2 linked regions of the Macaca mulatta genome follow. The protein of the gene in region 2 interacts with the protein of the main gene of each other region in a pairwise test. Links are inferred from orthologs where the notes say so. Each region holds a gene or a part of one and is shown on either strand. Other genes may lie near its edges. The genes, in order: ZBTB5 and DCX.

Region 1 (3,560 bases), on a different chromosome or scaffold from region 2:
CTGATTAATTCCTTCTCTTTTTCTTACTCATTCACTTATTTTTATTTTCTGAGACAGGGCCTTGCTCTGTTGCTTAGGCTAGAGTGCAGTGGCCCAGTCACAGTTCACAGAAGCCTTGACTTCCCAGGCTCAAGTGATCCTCCCACCTCAGCCTCCCAAGTAGCTGGGACCACAGGTGCGCACCACCATACTCAGCTAATTTTTTTTTGAGACAGGTTTCACTCTCACCCAGGTTGGAGTGCAGCGGTGCGATCTCTGCTCACTGCAACCTCTGCCTCCCAGGCTCAAGTGATCCTCCCCCTTCAGCCTCTTGAGTAGCTGGGACCAGAGGCACACACCACCATGCGCAGCTAATTTTTTGTATTTTTGGTAGAGACAGAGTTTCACCTTCTTGCCCAGGCTGGTCTCAAACTCCTAAGCTCAGGCAGTCCTCCCACCACAGCCTCCAAAAGTGCTATAGGATTACAGGCATGAGCCACCGCATCTGGCCTAGGGTTGTTTTGTTTTTGTTTTTTCTATTGGATAGATTTTCAGCCAGGCCTCCTGCCTTAGCCACACCTTCATTCCATTTCCCCTGGCAAGGGCAACCAGTTCCTTGGCCTTTGGGAATGAGATTTATATGTTAGGTTGTTTTATCCACTGCCAGTTTAGGATTTTCACTTTTGGGGTGTGCTGAGTCAGTTAGCACTGATTTACCTGCTCCCCAGCTTCCAAAATGCTATTGAAGCTCTTCTCATTCTCGTTTTTCTTGTGGGTGTATACCTTTAAAACAACAACGAAACCAAAAAACTTCAGTGTTTTTTTTTTTTCTTTCTTTCTTTGAGATGAAGTCTGGCTCTGTCGCCCAGGCTGGGAGTGCAGTGGCATGATCTCAGCTCACTGCAACCTCCGCCTTCCGGGTTCAAGCAATTCTCCTGCCTCAGCCTCCCGAGTACCTGGGATTACAAGTACACACTGCCATGCCTGGCTAATTTTTTTGTATTTTTAGTAGAGACGGAGTTTCACTATGTTGGTCAGGCTCGTCTTGGACTCCTGACCTCAGGTGATCTGCCCGTCTCAGCCTCCCAAAGTGCTGAGATTACAGGTGTGACCCACCACGCCTGGCTTAGTGTCATTTTAGTGGGGTTTCAAGAATGAACAGGGGGCAAATGCATGTGTGCAATCTGCTACCCTCTATAACTGGAAATCTTCCACACTAATATTAATTTGCCCTTTTCACTTATTTAAGGTTCCTAAGATTTTGGAATTTCTTTGCATTCATTCCTCATCGTTAGGGAATGCAAAACTCTAACAAACTTCTGTGGGATAGATATCCATCACTCACACACTGGTCTTTACTAACTTAGCCCCTTAGTGTTATACATGGCTCATATGAAGAGTAAAGGGAAGCCTGTCAGTAGCTGGGCCCACATGTGTGCATGCCTCCTGGGCTGATGGCTGAATTGGCATTTGCTCCTTATATGACAAGCTCTTAGTGTATGTGCCCATTATCAGAGAGATCACAGGCTTCAAAGGTCCAAGCTTGGCCATCCATTCCACTCTTTTCATCATACCCTTTGTGTTCTGACTTTGAAGCTTTTCTAGGTCTTAACATTTTCTTTGTTTTCCTGTAGAATCATGGATTTTCCTGGTCACTTTGAACAAATCTTCCAGCAGCTGAACTACCAGAGACTTCATGGCCAGCTCTGTGATTGTGTCATTGTGGTAGGGAATAGACACTTTAAAGCCCACCGCTCCGTGCTGGCGGCATGCAGCACGCATTTCCGAGCCCTGTTCTCAGTGGCAGAAGGAGATCAGACCATGAACATGATCCAGCTGGATAGCGAGGTGGTGACAGCAGAGGCCTTTGCTGCACTGATTGACATGATGTATACCTCCACCCTCATGCTGGGGGAGAGCAATGTTATGGATGTCTTATTGGCAGCCTCTCACCTGCATTTGAACTCTGTTGTTAAGGCATGTAAACATTACTTAACGACAAGGACGCTGCCCATGTCTCCCCCCAGTGAGCGCGTTCAGGAGCAGAGTGCCCGCATGCAGCGCTCCTTTATGCTACAGCAGCTGGGACTAAGTATTGTGAGCTCAGCCCTCAATTCTAGCCAGAATGGCGAGGAGCAGCCAGCCCCCATGAGCTCTTCCATGCGCAATAACCTGGATCAGCGCACGCCCTTCCCCATGAGACGCCTTCATAAGCGCAAGCAGTCTGCAGAAGAGCGGGCCAGGCAGCGCCTCCGACCCTCCATGGATGAGTCTGCCATTTCAGATGTTACACCGGAGAATGGGCCTTCGGGGGTTCATTCTCGGGAGGAGTTCTTTTCACCAGATTCTCTGAAAATTGTGGATAATCCTAAAGCTGATGGAATGACTGATAACCAGGAAGACAGTGCGATCATGTTTGATCAGTCTTTTGGCACTCAAGAAGATGCCCAGGTGCCCAGCCAGTCTGATAACAGTGCTGGCAACATGGCACAGTTGTCCATGGCCTCTCGGGCAACTCAGGTTGAGACTAGTTTTGATCAGGAAGCTGCAACTGAGAAAAGTAGTTTTCAGTGTGAAAATCCTGAGGTTGGCCTTGGTGAGAAGGAGCACATGAGAGTGGTGGTTAAATCTGAGCCCCTGAGCTCGCCTGAGCCTCAGGATGAAGTGAGCGATGTGACCTCACAAGCAGAAGGCAGCGAGTCTGTAGAAGTGGAAGGAGTTGTGGTCAGTGCCGAGAAGATAGACCTCAGCCCTGAAAGCAGTGATCGGAGTTTTTCAGACCCCCAGTCTAGCACAGACAGGGTAGGTGATATCCACATTTTGGAGGTCACAAATAACCTAGAGCATAAGTCCACTTTTAGTATTTCAAATTTTCTTAACAAGAGCAGAGGAAATAACTTTACTGCAAATCAGAACAATGATGATAATATCCCAAACACCACTAGTGACTGCAGGCTGGAGAGTGAGGCCCCCTATTTGTTGAGTCCAGAGGCTGGGCCTGCAGGTGGGCCCTCCTCTGCCCCTGGCTCCCATGTAGAGAACCCATTTAGTGAACCTGCAGACTCCCACTTTGTCAGACCTATGCAGGAGGTGATGGGCCTGCCGTGTGTGCAGACTTCAGGCTACCAAGGAGGAGAACAGTTTGGGATGGACTTTTCCAGGTCTGGTTTGGGCCTCCACTCCTCCTTCTCCAGGGTAATGATAGGTTCCCCAAGGGGAGGAGCCAGTAACTTTCCATACTATCGCCGCATAGCTCCCAAAATGCCAGTTGTAACTTCTGTCAGGAGCTCACAGATCCCAGAAAACTCTACCAGTTCCCAGCTAATGATGAATGGAGCTACATCCTCATTTGAAAATGGCCATCCTTCCCAGCCTGGCCCTCCACAATTGACCAGAGCATCTGCAGATGTTCTGTCAAAGTGCAAGAAGGCCTTATCAGAGCACAATGTTTTGGTTGTAGAGGGAGCTCGCAAGTATGCCTGCAAAATCTGCTGCAAAACTTTTCTGACTTTGACAGATTGCAAGAAACACATCCGTGTTCATACAGGTGAAAAGCCCTACGCCTGCCTGAAGTGTGGCAA
Region 2 (3,824 bases):
TCTGCTTTTGTTTCTGTGGGAGCTATTTTACAACTCTGTAAATTGTAAATAACTGATAACAATCGAAAATTATCCTTATCTATAGAGATTCAAATTCTGAATTATCTAACGATGATATCACATCTCAGAGAAGGCAAAAATCTTGCTCAAACCACAAAGCCAGGAAGTGGCGTAGCTGGGACTTCTTAGAGAGTCATCTTCCTCTCCTCCTTCATATCTTACCCATCTCCACTTCCCAGCTTGGAATGGTCCTGAGTGAGGTGGAAGTGGAGAGGGGAAAATGGGTATAGCAAATCCAAACCTTAGCTAAGGTACTGTTTTGCCTGAGATCAACTTTGCCCTTACGGAATGTTCACTGAATGGATGCCTTGGACTAGGCTCTGAACAAACTCCCATGAAATGGGCTTGGTTATGTTACAACGCTTCAGGGTTGGAATCATGAGGAGGCTCTAGATACATTATCTGAGATGAGCGCAAACATTCTGGCAATTGCCATAAAGATTGTCTAGACTAGGGTTTGACTTCATTTATGTTCATGAACATCAGAATATAAATGAATATTCCAATTCTTTAAACTGAGAACACAATGTTAGATTGGTGGTAGGAAACAGAGGTTATTTGTAATTCTGATATCTGTCAAGCAAATTCCCCTCATACACCCAAATTAGTTACTCTGTTTATCATGTGGGTTGGAATAAATCCTCGTTTCTTTTTTTTTTCTTCCTTTCTTTTTTTTTTTTTTTTTTTAGTGAAGGAGTTATGAAAAAGCAAGAACAGATCTTGCCTGCCAAAGCCTGGGTTGGGGTCTATTATGTAATAACTCCCTTCAATTTGACAAATATTCATTGAATTCTAATGTATTCCTGTTATATCTCTGCTACCTTAGAGTCAGTGAGGTGCATATTTTGTAGAAGGGAAATTCTGTAGGTGGCATTCTGGAGATCAGTGATTTGACATATATTTAAACTGTGTAGTTATAGGTAGTTGTGTTCACCTGTGCTGGGTAACCAATTGGATGCAGTCTGCAAAGAGAATCTATTTACTTCAAGCTGACACCACCTGAGAATTTCTAACTGATGGGTTATATGGTGGTTTAAAAACAGATCTACAAATTCTTCAACACTCTTTCCTTTAATAAACAGAGTCTGGTTCCTCTCTCTTTGAATATAGGTTGGACTTAGTGACTGCTTCCAATGAATATGATAAAGGAGAAGTGACAGTGCTGGCTATGGAGACTAGATCACAAAAGGTAATACATCTTGTCTTTATTCGTTCTCTTGGATCACAAACTAAGGTGGGAGATCTTGCCAACAACCATATTGTAAGTGGATTCTACAGCCCCAGTTGAGCCTTCAGATGACTGCAGCTCCTACCATTATTTTAATGATATCCACATGAGAGACTCTGAGCAAGAACCACCTAGATAAAACACTCTAGAATTTCTTGCCCACCAGAACTGTGAGATAAAAAAAAATGGCTTTTTTAAGCCACTAAGTTTTGGGGTAATGAATTTGTTTCACAGCAAGATACAAGTAATACAGGTTAGAAATCCCAGAAATAGCTACTGCTGTTTCTAAGAAATGATTAGTTAAGCAATTATTGCCAGACTTTATTAATCTTGATCAAGTGTTTTAAAGTGTATTTTTTGCAAGTCTCTGCTTAAAAACTGTCCAACTTTATTGTCAGCCCAAGTGTTAAAACCTAGGTCTTTGTAGTTTTAACAATATGAATTTGCTTAGATATAGATTTATGTGCTCTTCTGTACATTTGAACAAGATAGCATCAAGGCACATGTATTTTTTATTTCTCCAGCAAACATTATCTAAATGCTTGATTGGTCTCTAGCACCATGTTGGGTAAAATAGGTACTGTTGTGCATCTATTTATTCACAAATATTACTGGAGCATCTACTAGGGGCCAGGCACTGTGCTCTGCACTGGTGATATGAAAATGAACCTACCACATTACCTTTGAGGGGCTCAGCATTTAATTGGGGAAGTAGACAGGTAAACACATACTTTACAACACAGTGTGGTGAATATTACCCCAAAGATATGAATGGCATGCTATGGTATTGCAGACACTGGAACAATTATCTCTATGTGAGGTCTTGAAGGATGAATAGGAGCTTTCAAGCAAAAAAGGCTGATGGGTTAGAGGAATGGCATTCCAGGTATGGGGGAATAGGGAGTGCAAAGACATGGAAGTACTAAAAGCCTGGGCTGCCTTTTCATACCTCAATTTCCTCAACCCAAGAATAAAAAAATGACTGGTGATATGCATGCTCCTGGCAGCGTGAGGCAGGCAGTACAGGCTATTCATCTTGGCACAAGCATTTCAAAGCCATCAGGCTGCTCATGATGCCCCAAACTGAAGGGGCTTTTTGTTTTCCCAATGCTCTCAGACTGCAAGAATTCTCATGATAAACTCTGAGCCTTGGGATGACAAATGTATGTCTTTTGGAACATATAATTTCCTTAGTGTGAAGAACCTCAAATCGTGCATAAACCTAAGCTTCTGAACTTGGACTTCTGAGGCCTTTTATTGTTTATATTTGTATAAAAGAATGGAAGACATTGCCTCTTAGGTCAATGTCACTCAAACTGTGGGTCCAAGACAAGATAGGGTTCACATCAGAATGCAAATCAACATACTGCTGTCTTCATCAATAAAATCAGGCTCTGAAAAAAAGTCAGCTGAGCTAAATGGTTTGCTTAATGGCATAGTTTATTTACATTTGACACAAGCTCCTAATCTTGTCACAGACTGACTGGTAACAAATAGTTCATGGGTTGGCAGTGATCAATAGAGCACATGTTTTAGATAACTCACTATCCACTATATAAAATCTTCTATGGCAAATCTCTCTGTTTTCTGGTCTATGCTTTAATTTCCTATTGTGAGGTTTATACAATTTATGTTGTCTCCCTATATATATGGCATATATATATAGTGTACTTGTTTCCCTTTTTGTTTTGGCTTCTAATTACTTCAGAGTCAAATTTGAAGCTCAAGTGAGTCAACCATGTTGACACTTTGGGGTATTGTTTTTTATATTCTTTTTCTTGATTCTGATTTTTAGTTTCAGGTTTATGGTTAACTTGATTATTCAATTGAATATGTTTTTGCCACATGATGTTGAAGATGATGAAAATGATGACAACCATGACAGTAAGCATTACAGCAAGCATAGACAATGGGCCAGGTTTCTGGTTTGCATCCATTTGAGTGGAGTAATGGTTGTAGCTGTGCCTCCATGACTCCAAACAAGTTTGACTGTTTTAGTCCCTGAATTGACAGAATAGGGTTTCATGGAGACACAGTAGTGCTCATGAGGAACTGATTCCTCTGCATGCAGACAATATTGTCCTCCATAAATGAAATCAGCGTGCACAGTTAGGAAAAGAGCACTCACCGTCTTGGTCGTTACCTGAGTCAGCTGGAGACTTGCTTCGGCGCATAGGACCAGGGCTCTTGGCTGAACTCTTCTGAGGTGTTGGGGATGCCTTTGGGCCAGCTGTGGCTGATGGGTTTCCCTTCATGACTCGGCATTCTGGGGCCAAAGGACACAAACAGCTTAGTAGAGGGTAAAACAGGCTCAGCATGTTATCAGCCTCTGGAAACCGGAATAACCCCCACAGGCCAAAGGACCTAAATGGGTCAGGACTACAATGTGGTCCTTATTATTAGTAGGAGCCATGGTTCTGGGGAGGGAGGCATTAGGGAAACCTTCAAAAGCCACCTGGGCTAAACTAGGTGTTTAAGCCCCTGAATTATGAAAACAAGGGCAAGAGTCCAAAAACAGGTCAAGTAGGCAATTAAA

The links.
Region 1: the proteins of DCX (region 2) and ZBTB5 interact in binary tests that used the Homo sapiens proteins (3 or more experiments, as listed by UniProt). The two-hybrid records come from large-scale screens. The link is inferred for Macaca mulatta from reciprocal best matches to the Homo sapiens genes DCX and ZBTB5.

What each region holds. Positions count from the first base shown.
Region 1 is NC_133420.1:62,172,962-62,176,521, forward strand, and holds part of ZBTB5 (zinc finger and BTB domain-containing protein 5), read left to right. Parts: exon of another isoform or gene 1-1,613; 5' UTR 1,614-1,617; coding exon 1,618-3,560. UniProt on the Homo sapiens protein: May be involved in transcriptional regulation.
Region 2 is NC_133426.1:118,066,231-118,070,054, forward strand, and holds part of DCX (neuronal migration protein doublecortin), read right to left. Parts: intron 3,555-3,824; coding exon 3,432-3,554; coding exon of another isoform or gene 3,417-3,431; intron 1-3,416. UniProt on the Homo sapiens protein: Microtubule-associated protein required for initial steps of neuronal dispersion and cortex lamination during cerebral cortex development. May act by competing with the putative neuronal protein kinase DCLK1 in binding to a target protein.